Linked DNA regions of Saccharomyces cerevisiae S288C. Changing the gene in region 2 together with the main gene of any one other region gives a genetic interaction. Each region holds a gene or a part of one and is shown on either strand. Other genes may lie near its edges.

Region 1 (17,546 bases), on a different chromosome or scaffold from region 2:
TGCCGTGGCGCTTACTTCCTCTACTGCATACGCTATGTACATTTTGAACGCCCAGGGAAGCTTTTACAACATGAAACTTAATGTCGGATATCAGTTCTTGTTGGTTTGGACATCTCAAATGATTGGTTATGGTGCTGCAGGTCTTACCAGAAGATGGGTCGTCAACCCTGCAAGCTCTATCTGGCCTCAGACTTTAATTTCAGTGTCCTTGTTTGATTCGTTGCACTCGAGAAAAGTTGAAAAGACAGTCGCAAATGGTTGGACGATGCCCCGTTACAGGTTCTTCTTAATCGTCCTTATCGGATCGTTCATCTGGTATTGGGTACCTGGATTCCTCTTTACCGGTCTGTCCTATTTCAACGTTATCCTATGGGGGTCGAAGACAAGACACAATTTCATCGCTAACACAATCTTTGGTACTCAAAGTGGTCTCGGTGCGTTGCCAATTACATTTGACTACACCCAGGTTTCCCAAGCCATGTCCGGCTCTGTTTTCGCCACACCATTCTACGTCTCCGCCAACACCTATGCATCAGTGTTGATATTCTTCGTCATAGTGCTGCCATGTCTTTATTTTACGAATACCTGGTATGCCAAATACATGCCCGTCATTTCAGGTTCTACTTATGACAACACTCAAAACAAATACAACGTAACAAAGATTCTTAACGAGGATTATTCCATTAATCTTGAGAAATATAAGGAATACTCACCGGTATTCGTTCCATTTTCCTATCTTTTGTCGTATGCTTTAAATTTTGCCGCTGTTATCGCCGTTTTTGTCCACTGCATCTTATACCACGGTAAAGATATTGTCGCCAAGTTTAAAGACCGTAAAAATGGTGGCACTGACATTCACATGAGAATCTACTCCAAGAACTATAAGGATTGTCCCGATTGGTGGTATTTACTTTTGCAGATTGTCATGATCGGTTTAGGATTTGTAGCAGTGTGCTGTTTCGATACTAAGTTCCCAGCTTGGGCATTTGTTATTGCAATATTAATTTCCCTTGTAAATTTCATCCCGCAAGGTATCTTGGAAGCAATGACTAACCAACACGTAGGTTTGAATATTATCACAGAATTGATCTGCGGTTATATGCTGCCTTTAAGACCAATGGCAAACTTATTATTCAAGCTATACGGATTTATTGTCATGAGACAAGGCTTGAATTTGAGTAGAGATTTGAAATTAGCCATGTACATGAAGGTTTCCCCTCGTTTGATCTTTGCCGTTCAAATCTATGCCACTATCATATCAGGCATGGTTAACGTTGGTGTCCAGGAATGGATGATGCATAATATCGATGGCTTATGTACCACCGATCAACCAAATGGCTTCACTTGTGCTAATGGTCGCACGGTTTTCAATGCTTCCATTATCTGGTCTTTGCCAAAGTATCTTTTCTCATCAGGGCGCATTTATAATCCGCTGATGTGGTTCTTCTTGATTGGTTTGCTATTCCCACTAGCCGTTTATGCTGTTCAATGGAAATTCCCTAAATTTAAATTTGCTAAGCACATTCATACTCCTGTATTTTTCACAGGCCCAGGTAATATTCCACCAAGCACACCTTATAACTACTCATTATTTTTTGCAATGTCATTCTGCCTAAACTTGATAAGAAAAAGATGGAGAGCTTGGTTCAATAAGTACAATTTCGTCATGGGGGCCGGTGTTGAAGCAGGTGTGGCAATCTCCGTCGTCATCATCTTCTTGTGTGTACAGTACCCAGGTGGTAAGCTCAGCTGGTGGGGAAACAACGTTTGGAAAAGAACGTATGATAATGATTATAAAAAATTTTATACCTTAAAGAAAGGTGAGACATTTGGTTATGATAAATGGTGGTAATCATGAAAACATAATAATAAACCTGCAGAGGTTCATATCAAGTTTTAATTCAAAATTTGGCACACGTAATAGCAAACTTTAGTTCATATTCTGTAATATTAAGAAATTATTTTCTTTTCTGTCATCCTTTCATATTGCTTAACTTGAAATACTTTATCTCAACGTTTAATTATACTGTTAATAATGATATTTCTATATTTTAGAGCACATTTTGGTCGAAACATTCAAAGCGACCCCTGCAATATTTAGCGGAGGCATCTCATCCGCCTTATTTTTGTAAATTAACGATCTTTAGCGCATGCCAAGTGTTCGATAACAAATTCCGACTTTAAGAAAAAACGGGCACGAGCATACAATAAAAAAACTTTTAAAATTTATACCTCCTTGAGGTGTTCTATTTTATGATAGATCCGTATTTCAGATACCAAATGTTATATACACTTTTTTAAGCTTGGATTTTTTTCTGAATACACGGACCTTACAAATGCTATAAAAAAAAAAAAGATTCTGTAACTTGTAAAATTAAGGGCCCTAAAGGGCCATATCCACCTCACATTTCACTGTGATATAAGTAGGATATTTTGACTTCAATACTTAAATTTACAAGCCAAATATTTTATTATGACTTCAAAAAAAAAAAGGCTTCTAGCATTCAGAAATAATGCTGACTGTGAAAACAACTATAACTACATCAATATATCCTTCCCTCTTTCATGACAAATAGTATGTTGCTCTCGGGTTCATCCAAAATCGTTATATCGTCCAACGGATTTGATTTCATCATCAGTAGGTCAGCAATGAACCCTGGCTTAATCTGTCCCAATTTATCGCCTAATCCGTTCATTTCGGCAGGAGTAACAGTTGCTGAGAGCAAAATCTCTTGTGTCGTTTGAACTTTCCCTCTAATACGAAACTCTTGCGTTTGATAACCATATAGAGGACCCAATAAATCTGAACCAAAACAAATTTTAACTTTTTTTTTCTGGGCAATTTTCATTGCATCAATTCCTTTGTAAAGCACCTCTGTATTTTTTCTACTATTTTCAGGTCCCAAGAATGCACTAAATTGATCAGAACCCATCACTTTGTAGGTAACTAGTGTTGGAGTCAAGTAGCAACCCAATTCTGCCATAAGCTCTGCGGTACGTTCATCTAATAAGTTTCCGTGTTCGATACCCTTAACACCTAACTTGATACAATTTTGTATCGCTTCCGCAGTGTAGGCGTGTGCTGTTACGTATGTGTGGTAACTATTTGCGACATCTACAAGTGCTTTTATTTCGTCGTCGCAAAATTGTTTGTTTGATATTTTGTCAGTTGGAGAGGCCACACCTCCACCACCCATAATCTTAATAAAGTCTGCACCTCTTCTAAACTCTTCTCTGGCCGCTTTGTAGCATTCGGGAACACCATCTGCTACAACACCAACTTGACCAAAGTGGCATGAACAGCTGTCAAAGGCACTAGCAGGTAGGGCACCAGATCTCAGATCGCCATGACCACCAGTTTGGGAAATGGCATGTCCACACGTAATTAATCTGGGACCATTCAAGGATCCCTGACGAATCTCTGCTTTCAGAAAGCCTTCTGCACCCCCACAGTCTCTCACTGTTGTGAAACCTCTTGCCAGAGCGGCTTCCAAAGTGTATCTTATTCTGAGTAATGCAACTGACTTTGGCATCAGCATTAACTTGGTCAGATCAGCCTCTCCTGCAACCGACGCAATGTGGACATGACTGTCGATCAGACCTGGAGTGACATACTTACCGGTGCCGTCAATAATTTCAAAGGCAACTTCATCAACGGTTACCGGCTTTTCAGAACCAAATTCGACCTTGGAAATGACACCCTGTTCTATGAAGATGTAAGCTCCGAGGAGACTGACACCGCTTACCACATCTATCAAATTAGTGTTACTTATACAGTAATTTTTGAGTGGCTCTGGGCGCTATGGTGCCACCAAGTCGGCCAGGGACTTGTTCATTCCTTCATTGACATCGATTTGATAAGTCGTCATTTTTATCTCGGTTAATATACTGTTTCGATGTCCCGTCAATTGGAAAGAAAAGCTACGCTACATACCAGCAAATATGTTGCTTTTATATTCGCTCATATCGGAGATCAATTACCGACATACTCTTCTCTATTCAACAAGTTCTCCGTTCTCCGTCAAGTTACGTCGTTTACGAACGATAAGAGGCTGATCAAATAGGAAGGAGATATTGTCGGATCATTTTTTAGTATGGAGATAATGCGTCATGCCGACATGAAGGCACCATCATCTGTGAAGTGTGTCAAGAAAAAACTGGCGAAGTTAAAGCTAGATAATCCGAATAAGAGGGATAGTAGAAAGGAGGTGAAGTAAAAAAATTATCACCATTTTTTCTCTATTAGTAATGAATTCTTCAAGGACTTTCAAAAGTAAACGTCACAAAAATTTTTATTTCTCAAGAATCTTGTTTATCGAAGGGTCTTTATTGAGAAATGTTAGAAAATTGGTAACTTTTTAAGATCAGAGTTAACAGGCAGAAAAAAAACAGGGTCTTTTTGTTCAGGAACCCTTTTTGGCTGAAAAAAAGAGCGCACAGAACAACGCGAAAAAGAAAAGGAGGAAATCGCGTATCCTTATGGCGTCGCAAAATTGCAATTAGTTAGCTATGTAATCTGTTTGGAAAGCTTCCTCAAAATTAATAATGGCGAAAGCAATATAACATCACTATTACATCAGGAATAGCTGTTGCCATACGATAAGGGGGTAATGAACAGATTGCTCATTAATGTCTATATTATGCATAATACGATTTTAATGTTCGGAATCTGTAGATGGTGCTAACATTTTACATGAACCAGCGAATAACCAGACTGGACTCGTTTGACCAAAAAAATTTCTGTTGGTAGTCTGTGTAGGTTTTCACAAAGAATAGTATAAATTGATACGCAACGAAATTAGTGGTAAAAATTTTTGTTTACTTTACGGCTTACACGGGGCCGTGGCTGATACTGGGAATACCATATCGTTTCGTTCCAGTGCCGATAAAGTGGCTGAAAAAAATTTACATATTTTTCTTGAGAGAGGTCTTTAACTGGTCTCACAGAGACGGTTAATCAAATGCTCGGAAACAGGATAAATGAGGACATCTGCACAATCGGGTGTTACCGCCTTATCTTGTTAGCAGTGGCTATAATCACTCCAGAATATGCCGTCGTGTTGGTGGCATAAAAAATTCTTTTTTTGCCATATAAGAATATCCAAGTTTAGGAATGACGCAAATTCGACACCAGGAATAATTAACGAGTTAATTCTCCCGACCCTCAAAATTTGAATAACAGTGCCCTCTTCTATCTGTTCACCACGGCACACAAACGGTTTGGAAAGATGTTGCTTTGGGTGTGAAAACTTTATTTATCACTGCTTTGCCATCACAATGTCTGTGATTTGAAGACCAGCTACTTCTCATTTAAAATAATATCTTATACGTACCATTGCTTCCTTTTCTGTAAGATGATCAACTACACGTCATCCTGAAAAGCAACATCACTAACAACTTGAGGCTTTAAGTCCAAACTCAATGTTGCAACAAGATGGTTTAAAGCAGCTCTTAATCAGTAGAAGCGAATATCAGCAGTAGACTTTTTGGCACTAGAAAATAAACTTCTTGAGTAAATTCTAGAGATACCTGCCTAGAAAACCCCCCTGAAGAGCCAATTTAGGTAGGAATTGTAATAAAGGTCTCAAGCTTGTAGGAGAATTATTTTTTTAACCCGCAGCAACAGTATTGTCACTTTCTTCTTTTACGACGTCATATTTTATAAAACGAATCTTCTCAACCTTTTTTAAAATTCCCAGTTGTCTACTTACAAATAATGACGTTCGTGTAAGTTTAGAGACTATCGGCACGCTCTAAAATGTGACTATATCGATATCGATTTGGCGGTTTTCACCAATAACAAAATGGGTGAAACATAGCTGAATTTTCTGCAATTCTTAGAATCCTATTATGAAATATTGGGGCCTTGAGCATTAAACCGACACCCGAACAAATTGAATATTTCGAAAATTGTTCTTTTCGATGTCATTTTTACCAAAAGTTAGATAGGAGATGACCCAGCGGTTACCTGTATTTCAGAGGTTACAACAAATTAAAGCGGTCTTATATTACTTTAGAAGCACCAACTTACATATTCTGGATAAACAGTATTTCTAACTTACTACTAGTTTAGTAACACATGTTCGTTACAGATAAGCCATTCAAAGATAATTAAAATCAGTTGCGCCATTATTAAAGGCCGAGAAATATATCAAGGTTTTCAGCTTAAAGGGATTTGCTGACTTTCTTATGCACTAACGCGCCAACATCGTCCTTTTAAAAATTAAGTCAACTCATCGCTTAGCGCTTAGCGCTAATGCTGGTCTTCCTCGAAGAGAACATGCGTTCGTATTGAGATATAAGTAAATATTGTGGTAATTACCGGAGTTTCATTGTTAAAAAAGAGTATGGAATTATGAATACAGAATAGGCCAGGAATTTTCATGAGACTATGGGAAATTGCCAAGGGAATCAATAATTCCACATAATGTAATTTTTCTTCTTCCTTTCTATGTGCCCTCGTTTATTTCCTATTACATTGCTACTCCTTTTATTTCAGCTTTTATTAATTCTGAAATCATTAGTAATATAAATTCTGGGTTAGGAAATCATAATTGATCTCATTCCAATGCACTAGAATACCTATGTACACACGAAAGTGCTTAAGTTATCATATGACGAACAGAGAATATCATATGTTCCATTTTTATTTTTCTATAAACAAAAGTTGCGTATTATTGTATTTTTTTGTTGTGTTATGCAATAAGCAGAGGCTACGATGTATTAATTAATCGGTTCCTCAAAAAAAAAAAAAAGTGATCTATAAAGCGTTGACGATAATCAATACTTTGTTATATTTTGGTAGTCCTGACGGGTTTCAAAATAAACAAAGTTAACAATCCGCCTACTAATTTGATTTGCTTTTTTTCATGGGCAGTAACATCAAGAAAACACTTTGTTGTTAAGCCCATCTAAGTATCATATTACCAAATCTTCTGTGAGTAAAATGATATAATAGGACTCAACGTGACTGTCAGTCTTCAGTAGCCCTGGTGTTTAATATATCGAATCAGTCTTAGGAATTAAAAAGCCCCTATATTACAGAGGGCATTGGACATTATTTATCAATGTACTTTGAAGTTTGCTTGCGTGTGTTTTCACCGGTCTAAAACATTCTTTTGTAGAAGGGTTTCTCGTCATGCTGTAATTTTTCGTTATCATAATCACCATCCCTTCTAGAAGCTGGTACCCAGGATTCAGATTTCCAAGGTAATACACCGTCCATCCACATCTCATCAACTTCTTCTAAAGTTAGACCTTTTGTTTCTGGAACAAAGAAAAAGACGTAAAAATATGAAAACGCTAAGCAACCCATGAAAACGTAACCGTAGTAGAAATTAATTGCCGAAGTAATAAAAGGAGTGAAAAACCCGATTAGGAACCCCCACAATAAGTTGGCCGCTGTTGCAACGGACATACACTTGGATCTCACCCTTAATGGAAATGTTTCAGAAATAATCACATAACATACAGGTCCCCAGGTGCAGGAAAAGCAGAAAATGTAAAAACACGTGAAAACAATCGTACAATTACCAGCACCTTTAGATGATGGTTCACTTTTACCGTTCGGATATAGTCTTGTGACGCCAACGGAGGCGTAAATAACCATGCACGCCGTCATGGTGGCTGCTCCAAGTAAAAGACATCTACGACGGCCCAACTTATCAACAGAATAAAGTGAAAAGAAGCAAGAAGCAAAATTCACAATACCCAAGACAATTGAAGTCTCAAAAGAGTCATTCATACCGACAGATTTGAAGATAGTAGTACCGTAGTAGAAGAAATAGTTGTCACCGGTTAGTTGCTGCAGAGAGTTAATCATGACTGTCATCGTTAAACGTTGAAAAACTTTAGTCTTTCTCGAAAATAATTCCTTCCATGAAGCAGTTCCCATTGCTTCTTCTGCCTCCACACCAGCAACAAGAAGATCAATCTCTGCAACCACAGCAGGATCGTCAACACTAAGCTTGTTCGACTTGGCAAAAGAAGCTTTAGCTTGCTCAATCTTACCGACTTGCACCAAAAACCGAGGAGATTCCGGAACAAACGTCATACCACCAATCATAATAATAGCCCATGCAAAACATAGACCAAGCGGAACACGCCACTGGACAGAATTCGAGTAAGTCTTGGTACCATAATTGGTACAATAACCCAAGAAAATTGCGAAAGTCACCATCAATTGCCAACAAGCTAGCAACGTACCTCTGATATGCTTTGGCGCAGTTTCCGAAATAAGCATCGGGGCAAGAACACTAATGGAACCAGCACCTATACCAGCGATAATTCTTCCAATAAAATACTGATACCACTTATCTATAGAGGCAATTTGAATGACAATACCAACCATATAAACGACAATAACTATAATCAAACCCATGCAGCGGCCGTAAATATCACCCAATTTAGACAAGAAAAGACAGCCAATGGCGCTTCCCACATTGAAGATGGACACAATCAACCCAGTTCTCACATTAGATAAGTAGTAAGTGTTCTTGGAATGGCTATAATTACCAAATCTTCTTAAAAAATCAGTCTGATTGACGAAACCAGAAATCGTACCTGTGTCCCAACCGGACATAAATCCACCGAAAGCCATACATAAACACATGATAGAAACAGTAGCATAGGCTGAAGCAGGCTTTTCTGGAACAACAACTTCCTCTGCCTCTTCCCCATTATACTCGGAAAAGTCCTTGTTTTCCTCCACTGTAGGTACTGACAGATGTGAAGAATTTTCTATCGAAGGGCAGCCATCATCTTCTGCCTCTTCGAAAATCGGTTCTTCTGGCAAGTTGGTTTTACGATCAGTCATGGTTTTTGCTGGCGTTCTGAGCTAACTAAAAGTGACTTATAAAAAATGCAATCTAAAATAAGAATGAAACAAAAATGGTCGTTTAAATATATCTAGTCAAGCTTCATCCCTTACAATGGTTAGCGATGATATTCCGTCGTCCAAAAGATTACGACCATGCCAGTTCATATTATTTTACTTAAGAGTTCATGTCTTTCATGCGAAGAAGCGTTCGGAAATTCCAAAACTTCTTAGAGTTCAGGAACAGGCCCGGTCGCGGAATTATTCTCGGGATAATTCCAGCCGCTTGGCAGGTAGGCTAAATTACACATTTCAAGAACTTTCTCCGGCCTTTTCTGTGAGATACGTTTATAAGTTGCTGCAGCAGGATGCTCTAGGCTGCTTTCTCTGGAATTTCTCTCCTTCTCCACATACCTCGTTGTTGAATCCCCGCGGAGGTGATATAATAAAGTTGCGTGAAAGCGTAAATGCCTAGACGGAGAAAAGAAAACGGGGAAATAAACTTTGCATTATTTTTCCTCCGTGGAGAATCCTCGGAGAAACACGGGAATATTTGAAACTATTTGCAACATTGTCCATTGAAATAGTCACAATCCTAGAAGCTAATTCACCGGAAAAAGTAATTCACACTTAAGAATTGTATCTTCCATTACCGCTACGGTAATTGATACGGTTTTGAGGAGTAAGTTCATAAACGTCTGACGAATTATAAATTAGGACACTTGTTCACATATCTTGGTGCGAAAAACTACTGTTTCTTGATGACTATATAGAAAGTGCTCAATATTGAAAAGAAAAACATGACGATCATCCATAATCCTAAATGGTGGAAAGAAGCCACCGTCTACCAAATTTATCCTGCTAGTTTCAAGGACTCCAACAATGACGGATGGGGTGATTTAGCTGGGATTACCTCCAAACTTGACTATGTCAAAGAATTAGGTGTCGATGCGATATGGGTGTGCCCATTTTATGACTCTCCTCAAGAAGATATGGGTTACGATATTGCCAACTATGAGAAGGTTTGGCCACGTTACGGTACCAATGAGGATTGTTTCCAAATGATAGAAGAAGCTCATAAGAGAGGTATCAAGGTTATTGTTGACCTGGTTATCAACCACTGTTCTGAAGAGCATGAATGGTTCAAGGAGAGTAGATCTTCTAAGGCTAATCCAAAGCGTGACTGGTTTTTCTGGAGACCTCCAAAGGGTTACGATGAGAAAGGTAATCCAATTCCTCCCAACAATTGGAGATCTTTCTTTGGTGGATCTGCTTGGAGATATGACGAAAAAACTGGTGAGTTCTTTCTGCATGTGTTTGCTCTTGGCCAACCTGATTTCAATTGGGAAAATGAAGAGTGCCGTAAAGCCATTTATGACTCCTCAGTGGGCTATTGGCTACGTCACAACGTTGATGGCTTTCGTATTGACGTAGGCAGCATGTATTCTAAGGTTGAGGGCCTACCCGATGCTCCTATCACTGATCCTACAGTTCCTTACCAAAAAGGAACTGAATTTTTCATAAATGGGCCACGTATCCATGAGTATCATAAAGAAATGCATAACTACATGCTCTCGCAAGTTCCAGAGGGTAAAGAAATCATGACTGTTGGAGAAGTTGGTATCGGGAATGAAGACGACTTCAGAGTTTATACCAGTGCCAAAGAAGGAGAACTAAATATGATGTTCAACTTCAAGCACACCTCAGTAGGTGAAAACCCAAAATGCAAGTACGAACTTATTCCCTTTACTTTAAAAGACTTTAAGCTGGCTCTTGCTGAAAGCTTTCTGTTTATCGAAAACACAGATTGCTGGTCGACCATCTATTTGGAGAATCATGATCAACCTCGTAGCGTTTCGCGTTTTGGCTCAGATTCTCCTAAATGGCGTGAGATTTCGTCCAAGATGTTGGCTACTCTCATCATTTCATTGACTGGTACTGTTTTTATCTACCAAGGACAAGAATTGGGTATGCCCAACTTCAAAAACAGAAAAATTGAGCAAATCAAATGCGTTGAAGGTACTGGTACATATGCCGCCATTAAACGTGATTATGGTGAAGATTCTGAAAAGATGAAAAAGTTTTTTGAAGCATTAGCTTTGATCTCTAGAGATCATGGGAGAACACCATTCCCATGGAGTGCTGATGAGCCTTCTGCAGGTTTCTCGAAGGATGCCAAACCATGGATTGACATGAATGAATCATTTAGAGACGGAATCAACGCAGAAGCTGAGTTAAAAGATAAAAACTCAGTCTTCTTTTTCTGGAAAAAGGCCTTACAAGTTAGAAAGGAGCACAAAGATATCCTTGTTTATGGACATAACTTTCAGTTCATTGATCTTGATAATGACAAGCTATTCATGTTTACAAAGGACACAGATAACAAAAAAATGTTTGCTGTTTTCAATTTCAGTAGCGATAATACGGACTTTTCAGTTCCTGATAATGAGGCCTCCTACACCATGTTTTTTGGCAACTATGCAAACTCAAATGGTGATTCCCGCACCTTGCAGCCATGGGAAGGAAGACTTTACTTGTTGAAGTAACGAGCACATTTAACATAAACGTACTGATCTTTCGAAACAAATAGTTATGCCGATATTTATGAATAATAAACTTGTATATTTCTTTTTACTTTTGCTTTTCATATGTGAGCATTGGATACTTAACTTACGCTGTACGCTATTTTCAATTGCAATTTATATATGTATATAGAAGACAGAAAATTCACTGAACCTTTTTCCGAAGAAATATAAAATAAAAAGCAACGTACAGCAGAAAAATAGAAAACATCATTATTACTGTTTCTATTGTCTAAATTTAGCCCTTTAAACCCCATCATCATAAGTACTAATTACCACGAATTCAATAATTAGTAAATACATTCGACTATTCTCACCCTAACTTTCGTCACTTTATCTTAAAACACTAGCTAAAAGTCGTTTATTATAACAAAACTAAAAATTTCGTAGTATGCACGCCTTATTGCCCAGTATTTTGTTAACTGTATGGATTGTACTAGTAAAAAAAATCTTGACGAAATTGAGTATAAACAAAATTTTAAAAAGCATAGTGCCAAATCAACAGATCTTAGTGAGGTGCAGGCCTTGTTCTTAACAAAAGCAAACCCCTCTTTATATATTGATATATAGGTGAACTAACTCAAATCATGTAAAGCTTTTCCTAAAGGAGCTGTGAGACTCCATTCCGAGAAAGTAACTTTCAATCCGCCACGCTCAGGTGTGCAAGCCATTGGTCCAACAAGGTAATGGTCAGAAGTTGGAAATGGAGCCAAACGTACTAACGGCCATGTTTTTTTATCAGAGGACACCTGAATCCTCAAAACGCCCTTTTCAACAGTAACACGAAGCCAGAAATCGCGAGCATTTCCGCCATAAACAGCAGTTGACCAATCTGATTTTCCATTTGTCAAAACACTGCTTAGCATTGCGTGGCCATCAGAAATTTCTATGCCAGCTTTGAGCCAATGTCCATCATCTATACGAACCATGATACCAGCCTGATCATAAAGACTCTCGTAGCTTCCCTGAACACGGACTTGTGCAGTAAAAGCACTACCTGTCTCTACTCCCAAAAAATGACCGCTATCACGGGTAAATCCGTAAAATGTTTCACGCCAAAAGTCAGTTTTTTCATCTGTTTCCAGAGTGACTTTTCCTGCCTCTTGAAAAACAGATTTTGGCTTATTGAGCCATGTTCCTTGCGATAATTCAGTATTCTTAGATTCGACCATTGTGTTTGGTAATTTATCTTGTTTGATGGAGAAGCCGTCACTTGGACTTTTGTTAATATTAGGTCAGGTTAAATACCTAGGAAATCTGTGCGTATAGGATCATCCCTTTCTAACTCCATCGAAAATGTTACTTGTTTTGTTCGAGGCTATTTGATGACCCTTTCATATGGACGCATGCAGGTGGCCATATTTTCAGTTTAAAGTTTCTCCGCATGTTAATTTGCGCTGAAAAATTAGAACGGTACTTATTTCCCCGAAAATTTCTCAAATCCGAACATAAAGCTACCAGCCACGCGTTTTCTATACGGTTGGAACTTGAGCAGTTTTACATAAGTTGTAAACTATAATTTTCTCCTCGAAGATAGATTATACCAGAAAGAAGCTACTATACACAGTCGAGTTGAGAATGAGCAACTTAAACCAGAACATATACCAATAATTAATAATCTCTCTGCGTATTTAGTCGACTAAAACTGAACTAGCTTTTTATTTATTCTTATAAGAAAATACGGTACATAATCATAGAAGACAACACTTGCTTTCGATAATTCCTCCAGAAAGTGGATCCATCATTTTCGATAGTTTGTAGTTGTACTATCTTTTTCAGTGATCTTTCTTATCACCTTACAAGGATTACCTGCTGCCACTACATTTTCTGGTATGTCACGAATCACAACACTACCGGCGGCAATCACGGAGTTTTTACCTATATTTACTCCAGGAATTATTGACACTCCACCTCCAATCCATACATTGTCTCCAATGGTCACAGGCATGGCATATTCTAATCCTTGAAGCCGTCTTTCCACGTCAATTGGATGACCTGCCGTATAAATACCAACATTAGGGGCGATAAATACGTTGTCACCGATGACTACCTTGGCCCCATCCAATATAACAAGATTGTGATTGGCGTAAAAGTTGTCTCCGATATAGATGTTACTTCCGTAATCACAGTAAAACGGCGGTTCAATTATAAAGTTATCAGTGCAACTACCAAGTAATTCTCTTATTACCTGGCTCTTTTTATTCTCATCAGCGGGGCTAAGGGTGTTGTATTCGTGCAATTTTATTTTAGTCTCTTTTCTAATTTTCAAAAGATCTGGATCATAGTTCGCATCATAAAGCTCACCAGGTACTATATTTTCTAATACGCCCATTTTTCTCTAGAAGCCTTGTTTATATGCTTATTAGAATGCTTCTCTATGTTCTTGTTGTAGTACGTGAGATCTCACTCTTTATACTTGCGTCTTTTCGAAGTAATGCTAAATAGTGCCTGGCCCAGCGTCACAGGGTGTTTAACGAGCGCGTACTATTTGTGAATTTTTTTGGGCACATTGAAAACTTTAATTTTTTAAGTTATTCAGGCACGGCACACTATGACAGGAGGTTACGTCGGAGAAATAGCGTTATGGCCGATTGTGAGAACATTTAAGAAATTTCAATCCATAACAATAAAGTGGCAGTGTCACCTAAAATATTAGTACCAACTTGCCCAATTGGCAGAAGGAAAATAAGGATATCAGGCCACCGACTTGGTACTATTTTTTTATGGTAAATGTGTACTTTTACTAAGCTTAATTTGAAACAGACGTCATATGAATGTTTCTGGGGCTACTTGTTACAATTCTCGGTCCGCAACAACTGAACTCTGTACTGTTCTGTCTCAATGCTTGGTTTCTTGAATGGAATTTCACTCCACCCTTCGGAACGTTACAAAATTTATACATTTTAAAAATTATTCATGAGAGAAAGATGCTATAGTAATCTGTTCACCCTGTCAACTCGTGTAGCTCATGTTTATCATATAATTTCTAGTTCTATAAGGCATAACAAATAGTCCGTTAAGGATTAAGGCGTAAAAAAGTAAATATTGTATATAATAAATAATTAAGTTCATGTATTTTTTTCCAGTTACTAAAAACCGGAAGATTAGCTGGAAAAGAACCTCTTGTAGATTGGTCTATCGTCATGGTCTATGGCGTCAGCATCGTAATCTGCGGTTCTTCTTTCTGGTGGCACCCATGAGGCTGATTTCCATGCTGGCACACCTTCCAGCCACATAGTATTCACCTCCTCCAGCGTCAGGCCTTTTGTTTCTGGGACAAAGAAAAAGACATAAAAGTATGCAAAAACCAGACAGCCTAAGAATACATAACCGTAGTAAAAGTTGATTGCCCCGGTAATGAATGGGGTAAAGAAACTAATCAGGAAACCCCACATCCAGTTTGCAGCTGTTGCGATTGCCATTCCTCTTGATTTGACCCTAAGAGGAAACGTCTCTGAGACAATAACGTAACAGCCGCCTGCCCAAGTGGTGGCGAACGAAAAAATGAAGAACATAGTAAACACAATCATACAGTTACCGGCGCCCTGAGAAGTAATGTCTTGGTGACTGCTTCCTTGAGGCCACAACTTTGTCACACCGACGGAGGCAAACACAGCAAAGCAGCATAGCATAGAAGCAGCACCCCACAATAGACACGTACGGCGTCCAAACCTCTCAATGGTGTATACCGCTATGAATGAAGAGAAAAAATTAACCACACCGATAATGATCGAAGTCTGAAAGGAGTCCTTTAGACCGACAGATTTGAAGATGGTGGTGCCGTAGTAAAAGAAGTAGTTATCACCGGTTAATTGCTGCAGCGATTGGATCATCACTCCCATGAGAACACGCTGAAAGACCTTTGTTTTAGTGGAGAGTAGTTCAGACCATGATGCGTTACCTGCCAGCTTTTCAAGTTCGATTCCCGCCTTTATAGTGTCATATTCTGCTAACAAGGCTGGATCGTCGACTGAGACTTTGTTGGATTTCGAAAGTGAACGTTTCGCTTCCTCATCTTTACCAACCTCAATCAGGTAACGTGGTGATTCTGGTACAAACATCATTCCACTAACCATGAATGTAGTCCAGGCAAAGCAAAGACCAAGGCCGACTCTCCATTGAGTGGCGTTGTGATAGTTCTTGGTACCGTAATTGGTACAGTATCCTAGAAAAATACCCATCGTACACATCAGCTGGTACAATTGGACCAGGGTTCCTCTGATTTGTTTGGGAGCAACTTCAGATATCAACATTGGGGAAAGGACAGCAATGCCTCCCACTCCTAGGCCAGAAATAATTCTTCCAATGAAGTATTGGTACCACTTGTTTATGGAAGTTATTTGGATTAGGATGCCTACAACGTAAATGGCAGTAACTGTAATCAATCCAATACGACGACCATATATATCACCGACTTTTGACAAGACAATTCCGCCTATGGCGCAGCCAATGTTGAATATTGAGACGATCAAACCCATTCTTACTTTCGATAAGTAGTAGGTTCCCTTGTCATTTTTTTGACCGAACCTTCTGATGAAATCAGAAAGGTTAACAAAACCAGAAATGGTACCGGTATCCCAACCAAAGATGAAGCCGCCAAATGCAATCATCAAACACAGGATTGCGACGGTGGTATATGCAGAGAGGGGTTTTTGAGGTAAGTCAATAGGTGGTTCAGTGGCATCCAGGTTGAGGGAGTTTTTAGAGTCATTATGCTCAGTTTTTACAGATGGTGCATTTGCTACTGAGTTAGAGTTAGACTCGGTAGTGGATAAATCATTTGCGGATGTATTATTAACACCGGACATGATATTGGGTAAGATACGAAAGCTTTTAGTACTCAATTGTGCAATGATTATTTTTTCCAACTCATACCAAAAAAAGAAGAAGAAAAAGATAGGAACAACAGTGTTCTTTAGTTACACAGCTGTGACATTATATACCTTTATTTAGCGAAAAAGAGGAACTGAGAAAGATGAGCCTAGACCTTAAGAGCTAAGTAGTATAGGGTGTGTCGAACTGCTACTGATACTTTGAACGAAGGTGTCCGAGTGTATGCATTGCTCGTGTGGTCAGCATTTTTATTGTGGAGGAGGCGGATTCATCTACAATTTCCGACGCCTGATTTTCCACGGATATAATTTATTTTTTGACACCTGGAGTTTACATTTCACAAAATTTCTTTCTTTTTAGTTTTGCACTGATTTCCCCTGAAATAAAGAAAAAAGAAAAAGAAGGTTTTGTGAAGTGTCAGGGAAATGCACGAGAAAAGCACTTATAACTCGCACGGAGAAATGATTATGTAATTTTCCCGGAGAAATGATTATGTAATTCCGCGGAGAAATGGTTATGTAATTGTTGCGGGGATCGAGGGTTGTTTACGCTCCGTATTTTGTCTTAGGGCTATGTATACGCAAGGCTGCGGAGGCAATGCAATAATGGGGTCTGCTTGCAGATGGTATAATCTGCTATAACGGGCCAAGTGACAGGCACGCTGTTGCAGAACATACCATCTTATATCATGTAGGTTGTGCAAACATTACCTAAAACTGAAAGCTTCGTTTACATACAGCACTCCTTCCAGATCCTAAATTTACTTTGTTCTTTTCTTATTTTCGATCATTCGTAAGACGTCCACAGACATATATAAGTAAGGAAGACTTCTTCACTCGAGGAATTAGCTGTACTAGAATATATGTTCCATTCACCAATCCAAACACACAAACAAAAGTGAAAGTTTTTTCATAGAGATAAGAAAGCAACGTACAATGACTATTTCTTCTGCACATCCAGAAACAGAACCCAAGTGGTGGAAAGAGGCCACAATTTATCAAATTTATCCCGCAAGTTTCAAAGACTCCAACAACGATGGTTGGGGTGATATGAAGGGTATTGCCTCCAAGTTGGAGTACATCAAAGAGCTTGGTACCGATGCCATTTGGATCTCGCCATTTTACGACTCGCCACAAGATGATATGGGTTACGATATTGCCAACTACGAAAAGGTCTGGCCAACCTACGGTACGAACGAGGACTGCTTTGCCTTGATCGAAAAGACACATAAGCTTGGTATGAAATTTATCACCGACTTAGTCATCAACCATTGCTCCAGCGAACATGAATGGTTCAAAGAGAGCAGATCCTCAAAA
Region 2 (12,691 bases):
TCACAAAGAATCAGTTACGTTTATAAACAAGGTATTCAATACATGATATTTTCTGCTGAAATGTGGTACGATTATTCAATGTATATATCTGAAAATTCGGATCGACAAAATATCTTATATACTGCGTTATTAGCTAATCCCGACTCACCTTCTCTTACATTCAAGTTATCCGAATGCTACGAACTGGATAATGATTCTGAAAGTGTTTCTAACTGTTTTGACAAGTGCACTCAAACTTTACTATCGCAGTATAAAAAGATCGCCTCCGATGTAAATTCGGGTGAAGATAATAACACAGAGTATGAACAAGAGCTGCTATACAAACAGAGGGAAAAATTAACATTCGTGTTTTGCGTGTATATGAATACGATGAAAAGAATATCAGGACTATCCGCAGCACGTACTGTATTTGGTAAATGTCGTAAACTGAAGCGTATATTAACACATGACGTCTACGTGGAAAATGCATATTTAGAATTTCAAAATCAAAACGATTATAAGACTGCTTTTAAGGTTTTAGAATTGGGTTTAAAATACTTCCAAAACGATGGAGTTTATATCAACAAATACTTAGATTTTTTAATATTTTTAAATAAGGATTCGCAGATCAAAACCTTATTTGAAACATCAGTGGAAAAAGTGCAAGATTTAACCCAGCTGAAGGAAATATACAAGAAAATGATAAGTTATGAATCGAAATTCGGTAACTTAAACAACGTTTATTCTCTAGAGAAAAGATTTTTCGAACGGTTCCCCCAAGAAAATTTGATTGAAGTTTTCACAAGTCGTTATCAAATTCAAAACTCCAACTTAATAAAGAAATTAGAGTTAACTTATATGTATAATGAGGAAGAAGACAGTTACTTTTCTTCTGGAAACGGGGATGGCCATCATGGCTCTTACAATATGAGTTCGTCAGATAGAAAGAGACTAATGGAGGAAACTGGAAACAATGGAAACTTCTCCAATAAGAAATTCAAAAGAGACTCAGAGCTTCCAACAGAGGTTCTTGATTTATTGAGCGTTATACCAAAACGTCAATATTTTAATACAAATTTACTCGATGCGCAGAAATTGGTGAATTTTTTAAATGATCAAGTAGAGATTCCAACAGTTGAGAGCACCAAGTCAGGTTAACATTACGTTAATAAATAGGTATATATGAATATTTATACCAACACATCTATTATAATAGGCGAACCTCTGTATGTAATTAAGTAAAAAAAAAACGATGTGACAGGATAGTTAAGGTGCCTCGTACATAAATAAAAACGGAAATAGTTAATTCTTTCAAAAATATGGCAATAGCCAAACTCATTCAGAAGGTACAGGAAACACTCTGTTTCTGTGCGTTTATATAACCATGCTTATAAAAGAAAGATTGAACAAAATATACATGAATTTATGAACGGTAATCACCGTTAATTGTTACATATTCATGTGATAAATCACAAGTCCAAAATTGTGCTGCCTGATCACCGGTTCCCAAGTCGACAGACACTTCCAAATCATTCAAAGCCAATATTTCAGAAGCCCTTGTTTCATCGATCTCCAATTGTGGCACACCATTAGCGACAAGCTTCAGCTCACGAGGTTCTGAATTGTCGGTAGCAATAAAGCTAACATTAATTTTGTTGACATCTAGAGATTTTAAGTCATTCAGCTTTGCATACCCGATCGCGCACAATATTCTTCCCCAATTGGCATCTTGCCCATATAGTGCGGTTTTGACCAACATAGAGTTTGAGATTGATTCAGCAATTATTTTGGCGTCTTCAAAATGCAAAGCATTTTTAACGTTAACAGTAACAAACTTTGTCGAACCTTCACCATCGCGAACGACTAACTGGGCCAAGCGCTGAGCAAATTCTGTGACCTGCAATTTTACTTGTTCAAAATCTTTAGAGTCTTCGTTAATTTCTTTGGTGTCAATAGCACCGTTGGCCAACATGCAAATTGTGTCATTGGTGCTCATATCACCGTCCACCGATATACAATTAAATGAACGGGTAGTAGCGAAAGTCAGCATCTTCTGCAACGCCTTGCTTTCAATAGGAAGATCTGTAACTATGAAACCTAATAAGGTAGCCATATTCGGACAAATCATACCCGCGCCCTTTGCCATACCTGTCAAAGTATACTCAGTACCACTAGGTAATTTGAATCTAGATGTAACTAATTTTGGGAAAGTATCAGTAGTACAGATTGATTTGGCTACGTTCAACCAAGAGTTAAAATCACTGCCGAACTTTTCTTCTCCAAAAATTTTATTGATACCAGTGCTGATCTTGTCCATCTGTAGTCGTTGTCCAATAACGCCTGTAGACATGACTAGGGTAGAATTTTTTTGACCAATTTTATCGTTAACCAAATCAATCATTACTTGGGCATCTTTCATACCAAGATCACCTGTGACCGAGTTAGCACAACCGGAATTGACTACAATAGCGTTGATGTTTTTACCACGAGCAGTTTCAAGGACTTTTTTCGATGTCAAAACTGGCGCAGCTTTGAATTTATTGGTCGTGAAAACAGCTGCTGCGGTTGAAGGACGAGATTTATTGGTATTCAAGATTACACCCAGGTCCAGGCTCCCGTTTTTTTTGACTCCAGATGCAGTGTAGCCTACTTCAAATCCTTTAGGAAAAGAGCCCGTCTTGGGCACGTATAATGCATACTTATCTATAAGCTGCTTCGAGCGTTGAAGCAATGTTGATGATATTCTCATGCTATGTTGAATTTTGGACTTCTTTAAATAAAGGGAATAGAAGTATTGCTGATACTAGCCCAAAAATCGTCACCTTTGTGCGGCGAGCCGAGGATGAGGCTTTTATATACTCGACGACTAAAGAAGTTGGCAACGAATTACGCAGTGAGTCATCCTACCTGTCCATCGCAGTAGAAAAAGACCTTCGCCAAGAAAACACCGTCAATAATGATTGCTAAGCACTCTCACTTAGTACTACTATCAACGCTACCTTCAATTTGGGTCTAACCACGGCCCTATTGCATCACTACTCTCTTTATTCTATGATACAGCGTGGGGGTGAAGCCAAGAGCCCTGTGTTTTACTTCAGCATACCAACAAAGTATAAGATTACTTTTGCTATACAGCGATGAAAAATGTATTTTAATGTTTGTAAATTTATGATCTACTGACACGTCTCAGACAGATCACATTTACAACACAGCATGCTATGACTATATACAAAACATGACTTTTCTTTATCACTAAAAGTAACTGCCAATTTATTGTCGAATCTCGCTATAGTTTGATTTTCACCAGCGGCGCGCGCAAGTATAAGCTAAGAAACAATGAATATAGATAGATAGTGATGAGCGTTGAGAACCGGGAAATGAGTAGAGACGTCCTTCTAAACAAAGATTTATACGGTTGAGACAGATTCATTGAGGAAAAGAGGAGAATGGTTAGCATGATCCATATTGTGGTGTTTTTGCTAGCAATCACAACCATGTTCGAAATACTTCCGCTAATAACCGTCCCCGTGACCAAGTACCTATCGTTATCGTCATTCAGAAACCACTATTATGGCCTGTTTGGCTGGTGTGTACGTGGTCAAAACCAAGAATTGATGTGCACGAAAATGAAGATAGGATATGACAGTACAGATGTCGACTCCTCCGGGCACGTTTTGACCCTGCCATCGAACTCAAAAGTGGTCGTCTCCAATTTATTAGTGGTTCACCCGATTTCACTGGCATTCACAGGAACGCTATTAATTTTAGCAGTGATTATCATGGTAACTCCACTAGGGGACTCACCTGAGATGTTATTGTTCACGGCCCTTTTTTCGCTGCCAACGTTCATGCTATGTCTTTTATGTTTTTTGGTAGATATTCTTCTGTTCATCTCCAAACTGGACTGGCCCGGCTGGCTAATGCTAGCCGCTACTATTAGCGTAGCACTTTGTTGTTCCATGCTGTGGGTCATGAGAAGAGTTGTGTCAGTCAAAAAATATGAATCGCAACAGTCAATTGCGCATGCGTGCTCAATGGAACAGTACTCAATTTCCGACATTTACCAGAGTAAACAGAACGGCAATAGCTCAGAATATGAAGTGGCTCCAACACATACAGATAGTCTGATTGCTCCAGAAGTGACATATAGAGGGTTCATTGAATAAGTAACATCATGTGTCATTTTGCACGTTACATCGGTTTGCCAATCGGCTTCCAAATATTTGTACATTTTTTTCTTCCTCCATCACTATCTGTTAAGGGTCTTAGAAAATGATTACTACAGTGCAAGAAATCAGCAAATGGAGAAACCTGTGCTTCATTAGGATGCAATCTCGCAAATGGTACCCAGTACTTAAAAAGACTCCTTTAGTAGCGGACGGTCGAAAGATCATTAAACATGCCGATAAAGTTCCTCATCCGGAAGAAATAATTCACCCATTTTACCAACCAACAGCAATAGAACAATTCACGGCATGCGCTACGGAATACAATCCTAGCCTGCTTGATGGCAAAAAAATTGCTCCATCACTGATAAAACACCCGGTGAGCCTAAAAACCATACTAGTTGATAGCAAATTAAAGTTTGATGATATTAGGGGAGTGAATAAATGGTTGATGGAATTCGTTGCAAGACGACAACATCAAAGAAATATTGTACTTACACCTGCGAGCAAAAGCGTTAGATCTTTTCACGTTCTGCATTTGTCTTCAACCGATATTGCCAAATTAAGAGGTCTTGAAAATATATTATCAGAGATTGAAAACACGAATGATTTGCAATCCAGGGTCGAGTCCGTAAATAATGAACTACAGAATATTTTTGACCGCGACAGTAAACAGACAAGATTATTTTGCGAGAATATACTGGCTTATTTGATAAAGAATTATGGAAACTCGACTGAAAAACTTATACTACTAATAAATGTTACTGAGATGCAATTATATTCACGTTTAGACCAAATGAAGGCCATGAACATTATTTTATATAATATCCTTTGTAAAGTGGAAGCAAATGAAAACCCACCGTACAGTCCCACATTGGTTACCGCACTAGAAAACCTATTGGCAGCGATCAACAACAGATTTTTTCCAGGGCGTTGCGAAAATTCATTGCACCCAATAGTAATTGAACAACTATTATCATATTTCATTAAAACCGGCAATTTGAATGAAAGCAAAAATTTTTTGGGCCATTTAATAAAAAAGGGTATTTTACCAGAGGCTACTATCATTAATAGATATTTGGAGGCAATTGATGTTCATTTCGATAAAAGCACTAAGATTTTTGATATAAGATCCAAATTTGCATTCATAGCAGATCTTGCACCCATAATAGAAAATTATGGAACAATAGACCTGTTCAAATTTTTGATACCTATGTGCCGGCATTTCGACGAATTGTGTTCTCTGCTAAATATTATTCGAAAATCCAATAACGCAAAACGGGCTGTGGATAGCACCTTACCTATTTTTATCAAAAAAGTATTAACATTTACTAAAGATCCAATGATCAACTCCGGAAATCTATCCACTGTTTTCAATATAGTGAGCCCAATATATGGACAAAACGTGCCCAGCGAATTCGTGGAGAAATTTATACTGTCTTTTGCACTTCAAGGAAATTACACTATGATGGCTCATATGATAGATACATATAAGATCAAACTAAGTCATAAATACCAACTACAAATTATTAGGGCTCTCAAAAATAGTGAGAGAAATCACGCGCTTAAGAATACGGGCGCTGTAGGTTATAATAAGGAATTTAAAAAGTACTTCATCGAGAAATATTTGAATTGCACTGAACGAGAAGCTTTACGCCCATAAATCGTCTATATTAAAAAAAAGGCAGCATAAGAGCAACTCACTGCAAAGGGAATTGCGCATTCCACGCAAATAAACAATGTAAATAAGAATACGTACTGTAACTGTGTCACACTAGCGGGTTGTTTTATCATAATTGTTTGGGATTAATCCTGAACAAATTTTCTATATATAAACACTGGTTCGGAATACCAATGAAGTATACATATTCTGGTTCAACAACTGTTTCTATTCAAAAACTTTGAATGTTTGAAATGCGCTACGTCTATTTGTTTGCAATTTGTATTAAGTTTGTTTCAAGCTCCGAACTAGGAAAAATCAACAATCTGCTGCAAGGAAGATTGATATACACAGATAATTCCGTTGCGACAAATGTATTAGAATCCAAATTTCCATTCTTGAAATCAACATGTGTTAAAGACGCACTAAAATTATTTTTGCCACAATGTATTGCAAATGGACTTGAATCCATTGACGCTGAAACAAGGGTAGAAACGGCCATTAAACTTTCAATATGCGAGTTTCAGGCATCTGGCTTGGGCGAAATACCAGAAAATTGCATGGTTGACGACCTAGGATCAATGATGGATTGTATGTTTGAACTAGAATCATCTTCACAGTGGTGGACAACTTATAGTGGAAATTATCAGCGACTATCGAGTATTTGTTATGAAAATCTTCTTCCTTTTGAAAAAGAACAGATACTGAAACTTTTTCTAAATATCACTGAACTTTATGATTCATTTGGGGATGATGTCGATACTAAGTTAAATCATCTGATGTTTCAAATGGAGCAAGATTCTCAAAATTTTTTGGACGATCTGGCCAGGATGTTCCGCAACTATGACAATGAACTGCGAAATGCGACCGAAAGCAATCGAATAATCTTAGAAAACGACCTCTCATTTTTTAGAAATAAAGTGAATGATGTACTCTATGAAACTTCCGAACAACTAGAGGTCCAAATCATAGAGAAGAACAGTCAACTAATGAATGAAGTTGATACCGTCCATCATATTATGAGCGATCTAGCCGATGAGCTTGCTAAAAATGACATAAAATCTAAGATAAATGACTTGAAGGACGACAGCCTGAATAATTTACAGGACCTAGTGGAAATGTCCAACGACGTAAAAGAATATTACTCTAGAAATAACAAGTTAGTTAATACCGAGTTGGAAAACTTCTCGATGGGTTTAAAAAAACAGTTAGGAGGCATGTCAAAGGATCTTTCTGAATCACAAATGGAAGCTATAGAGCTCTTGCAAGGGTTCAATTCCATCCTTCATGATTCATTGTTACCATCCATGACGGATGAGATAGTACCTGAGATGACGAACTTCAAAAATACCTTACTACAAGAATGGACAGCTATAACATCTACACTAAATGGAGATTTTGCTTTATGGAATGAGGAGATTTTTTCAACTTTTAATGATATTTCAGAGAAACTGAATGGCACAAAAAAAAAATTAGACGACATTGAAATCAGAGTCTCACTTGTCCATAAAAATGTCATGACAATGATGAGGGTATTGGATTTTATGTGGAAAACTAGTAAAATGATTATAAGATGTGGGTACCTTGCAGTCAAGAATAAATACTACTGGTTACTGTGCTCCGTTGTGTGGATTTGGTCAAAATACCGTACGTCTCGAGTAAACGTCAAAATGATTCCTATTAAACGCTATTACCAATGGGCAGCTCTTCTACTTTCAATTTATCTAGGAGCTAAGACTGGCTCATTGATTGATTTTTAACATTACCGATGTAACAATATATGAAAGCCTATATATACATAGATGTATAGGTATATAGCCGCATTCAAAGTCTAGCAAAATAAATATTCTTTAAAAATTCAAGGACACCGGATCATGGTGGCCATAATACGGGCAAGTGAACCTAGAGAAGGTGTCCTACGTCACTATCCAAGTTAATTTGCTTAAGAGAGTTCGAGTGCAGCACCTACAGCTTTATCATTGAAGACGAAGCAAAAAGATCTTGAGATTCTATATCATGGGCACAGGTAGTATTCATTAGGTAGTAGTAACGTATTAAACAAGGCCATACTATATTTATAACTCATGTTCAAATACAACCGCTCACTCTGTAGCAGCGCTTTGATAGCAAAGTCTCAGATTCGTTTTTATAGATTGAAGCGGGCGCCATTGAATTATGCCTCCCATATACCTGAAGTTCTTAATAAGACCATCATAGGGCCAGACGAACCAGAAAAATGTCTCATTTTGAAAGGAAAAACATCAGAGGAAATCGAAAATAATCTTCTCAGTAATAAGAAATTTCAGGAGATCAATCCTCTTGATACTATCCAGGAAACGTTCATTCAATATCTGAAATTTTGTAATGAAACTAACTTTAAAAGAAGTAACAAGAATTTAAACAGATTAAAAAAAACCTTAGAAAGCAAGGACTCTAATAGCACCGTAAAAATTAATGCAGTTTTCAATTATTTGCTCGAAGAGTGTGATTTAGAAATCAAAAGATTGAACACGACCGGCCAAACCCAGGTATACAATGAAGAGAAAGGAAATGAAGATGACTTAGAGCAATCCATAATGAACGATATTTTCCGATCAGCACAAGAACAATTTGAAGATCAAGAGGGCCATATACCGTTAAGGAGTACATCATTTTTACTGGAGATTTTGAAAAGTTTTAATGAACGGTTTAATGGCATAATCAAACCGAAAGAGTCAATAACAGAAATGGTCACATTCAGCCAACTTGCTCAAGCTTTTGAAGTTGTTAAATTGATACCAGTGCAAGAAATGAAGGAGAAAGGGATTTACTTGGTCGGAAATTTACTTTATGGCACAGGGAAAGTTCGTTTAGATCCTATAAATGAGTCATTCTATATTGAATCCCTACTAGTTTTTGGAAACTATAAGGCTGCATACAGTTTATTTATTACCAATAAAGACAAAGTAAACGAGCGCTGGTGGAATGAACTAGGATTAATGATCACATTAAGGTCTAACCACTTGAGAAACTTCAGGAAACTTTTAGCCGAGACAGATGCAAAGTACTCAACAAAGTATTCTTATTTGAGCCCAAGAGTTACCAAATTGAGCATACGAAAATATTTGTCGATTGGCAATGTTACTGAAGCTAATATACTGACTGATCGATTTATTAAGTTAGTGGAAGAAGTTGGAATAATCAGAATGAAAGATGAGCAGGAGGAACTTCCCACGGGAGTTAAAAATTTTCAGAATGAGAAACATGCAACTGAGTTCTTAAATGAACTAGAAATACCATCGGATCATGATTATATCAGCATTGTTGATTTCCATCTTTATAAGAGAAATATTCCCATGGCGGCTCAACTTATCAGCAAGTACATGGAAATACCTGGAACGACACAAGAAGATGCCGCATTTCTACTTGTTAAAACCAAGCTAAATATGTTGAAAGATTTTGAAAAGCTACGAAACATTTTTGCTCAAAATAAAGATTATGTAGTGCCTGAGAATAATGTGAAAATGTTGCAAGAGGCATTTGAGAGCGTTATTACTAAGTATAACACTAATTCTCCAATATACAATGAATTGCTGTTTGAGAATGTTTCGGCCTTAACAAAAAGTATTGTATTAACTGATTTTCTGGAAGAGTTCATTACTAAACAGGCTTCTGGACAGTGGATGGAATTAAACAGTGTGTCACGTTCCAGAAAGTTTAATGGCTTGTTGAACATACTTCTCGGTACAGGTGAAGAAGAAAAAGCATATAATATCTTAAAAAAACTAGAAGAAGCCTCAAAGAAATCAAAAACAGATCCAGATTTACTCTATAATCAGTTTTATTCGGAAGTTAATGCATATCATTACGCTAAATTTGTTGAATTTTATAGTCTTCAAATTCAAAATATGAAGGCACAAAATACGCCCTCATTTAGAAAAAAGGAATTTAAGCAGAAAGTGAAGTCACTTTTAAAAAGAATGCAGGAGTCAGAGGTTATCCCAAATGCTGTTTTTTTGAGAGAAATACTCAATTTTTATGATAGCATGTATGACTTTAATTCAAGTTTTGAGATCATCAATCCGCTACTTGAATCCAAACAACAGGTGAGCTCTGAGTCTTCATTATCCACCTCAAACCCTTGCCGATTTTACAACCGTCGCATCATAACAAAACCGCTGTACCACAAGATTTGGTCTGTGTATTGCCATTATTATCATGTTTTACAAAATAATTCTAGGATTTTATCGAAAAAGTCGTCCATTGTAAAGAAATTAATAAAAAGGCAGATAAAGATTCACCCAACTTGTCACCCAAGAGTATTGTTCCAAATGACGGCAGAAAATGGTGAAATTTTGCCAGACAAAACTTTTTCTAAATTAATTGTGTCCACGTTCATGAAAAGCGGGGATTTAGAAGCAATACCTGCCATATTAACGTTTCTAACGAAAAAATTTGACTTGAATATTGATTACGATTTGAGTATGTATATTCTAAAGGGTTTGAAAAGACAATATTTACGAGATATTAGTAACATCAGTAAAGATGCTTGTGAGTACAAGTTACGGAAGGCGGAGCTAATGAATAATGAGTCAATCTTAAAAAACATTCCACAGGGTACAAATCAAGAGAATACAATATCCCATTTGATCAGGGAGATTTTGATCTTTATAAAATGGAAGGAAAAAAGTGATTGTTCTACTTTCTTGATGGTAGAAGATGCTTTTAAAGAATTAGGAACAGAGTTTACTTTACTCGAAGAATTAATAGAAGATGTAAATAAGTTAAAGATAAAAGCCTAAAAAAACGGATGCATTTTATATAATTTTAGCTATACGTGTACATATTTGTAATAAAGTTAAAAGAGGAGACTGTTTAGCTTTGTATTTATTTTTTACTTAATTTCATCCATTTAGGTACTCTATTTAAAGTCTTTTTGATACTTGTAGCGTTATCAGAAGGGCCCTGTGGATTGGATTTATTTATCGTATTAACTGATGGGGTTGTCCTCGTTTCGTGTGTGATTTTTTGTGCGTCTTCCAAAAGATGAGCCTTTATTAATGGGCCATTAGAATTTGAATTTGTTTCAAAAAGCAGCATTGTTTTAGAGCCAAATTCCAGGTCATCCAGTAGCTTCTTATCGTCTTTAGCCAAGGGTTTGAAAGGATGAGATTGGTTTAACGTAAAAGGCATGTTCTCATCGATCAGGAACTGCGACACGACGTTATAAACTGTACGCATGTCTTCATTGGGTTTGAATGCTATTTGAATATGGCTTCTATCGGGGAACTTGACTCTCAGCAAACACTCAGATATAGCCTTATTTTTCTTTGGCAAGTTGTTGGCTGATTGCTCTCTAAGTCTCTTTGTCAAAATAGGACCACCCAAAGTACCAGCCTTCGATGATAACATTTTTTGGTATTTCTTGGCTTGTTCTACTGTCAATTCATAATCTTCTTCATCCTCGATTTGATCCTTGATAACTGCTAATGGCTCATCCGAGGGCAAAAACACAGAAGGTTTATGTAGTTCGTGAGGTGGTAGTGAAGCAACCGTTTCCGGGTTCGTCATCGTAGGGGGAGTTTGTTTTGGGTGAATAGCGCTATTAGCGCTAATGCCCTCAGAATGAGATGTATTATTAAAAATCAATCTAACTGACGAAGGCTCCTGAATCCCTAAATTTTCGAGAGTCAAATTCTCATCCTTAATTGTTTTGAACTCTATTATCTTGGAAAAGACCTGGATCTTAAAATCATCTCCCGCAGCGCCGCTCATCTGTCGCAAGATAGGGGCAATTGGTTGGTCAGATGGCATTTCTTTAACCACGGAATCTCTTCCTGGGATTTGAAACCGTATTTTGATCGTATTGAATGGAATATCTTCGCGGTTGGTCTTATTCGCCACCGGAAAATTACTACTTTTAGATAATTCTAAGTTGACACCCGTTGGTAAGTTTAGAAGCCTCCATGGCAAATCTAATGGCACCGGTTTATCCAAATGTATCAATGACCAGTCGTTTGACGAGGTGTGCAGTTGAAAGAATTGTATGGATTGGTGTAACACATCGTTTAGTGTTGAATTCAACGAAACTTTACATTTGAAAAGTTGGAAGTTATACTTCACGGTAACCATAGGCATTGTATTGTGCGCTTATTAGTCTGCCTTGCTATTCTTCGCAGTACGTAGATTTATCTTAGTTTTTGCATTTTTTGGTTTTCTTTTTTTTTTGCCACACATAGTACAATAAAAGAGAACTTGAATCTTTGAAGAAACGTCTAAATTAACATCGAAGATAGAAGACAGGGAAACATCTAGGATTGCAAGAAATAGTGCTGAAATTTTGTAATAAAGTTGCAAGAAATAGCATCTAGCGTTTTATAAGGCGTACATCTTTCTTGGCAAGAGTTCCAAGAGAAAAGAGGAGCAAAACAGCGGTTGAGGCGCCCGCTATCTTGAATATTATACAGTTTCTTTAAAAACGCTTGTACAACACTGCATAAACATGGACAAATTATTGAAATTGTTTCAAGATATTTCCCATATCATATTCCAATAGCGTTACTCTCTCATCGCTTATTCTGGAATCATTATTTTAATAAAGATAACTCACACGATATACGTGTACTGAGCTGACCTTTATACCTACCCTTACCTGCTTATTCCTGATAAAAATGTTCGTGCAACTAATTGTTTGATTTCTCTTGCGGCCCGGTTATTCCGGAGTTGATACTTTTTTTCTTCTGTCTTAATTACGTTTTTTTCCTCTAGACTTTTTTGATCTGGTACAATTGAAAATGTATAAATCAACTGGACCCTAAAAATAAAAAAAAAAAACGCCCATTAGAAAAGAGGATATATTGAACAAAAGATGTTGAAAGAGCCCTCAGTTCGCTTGCGGGAGGCTATT

Evidence for each region.
Region 1: mutations in KAR5 (region 2) and HXT8 together harm fitness more than expected from each alone (negative genetic interaction), as found in Saccharomyces cerevisiae (one large-scale study listed by BioGRID).

The regions. Positions count from the first base shown.
Region 1 is NC_001142.9:18,156-35,701, reverse strand, and holds HXT8 (hexose transporter HXT8), read right to left. Parts: upstream 8,816-17,546; coding exon 7,106-8,815; downstream 1-7,105. Other genes in the region: oligopeptide transporter OPT1, read left to right, coding at 1-1,852; YJL213W (uncharacterized protein), read right to left, coding at 2,544-3,539; oligo-1,6-glucosidase IMA5, read left to right, coding at 9,616-11,361; REE1 (Ree1p), read right to left, coding at 11,973-12,569; YJL218W (acetyltransferase), read right to left, coding at 13,139-13,729; hexose transporter HXT9, read right to left, coding at 14,502-16,205; oligo-1,6-glucosidase IMA4, read left to right, coding at 17,166-17,546. UniProt on the Saccharomyces cerevisiae protein: Probable glucose transporter.
Region 2 is NC_001145.3:393,652-406,342, forward strand, and holds KAR5 (Kar5p), read left to right. Parts: upstream 1-6,050; coding exon 6,051-7,565; downstream 7,566-12,691. Other genes in the region: cleavage polyadenylation factor subunit RNA14, read left to right, coding at 1-1,137; ARG7 (glutamate N-acetyltransferase), read right to left, coding at 1,403-2,728; RIM9 (Rim9p), read left to right, coding at 3,426-4,145; AEP1 (Aep1p), read left to right, coding at 4,252-5,808; SOV1 (Sov1p), read left to right, coding at 7,890-10,586; UBX4 (Ubx4p), read right to left, coding at 10,672-11,922; AVO2 (Avo2p), read left to right, coding at 12,653-12,691.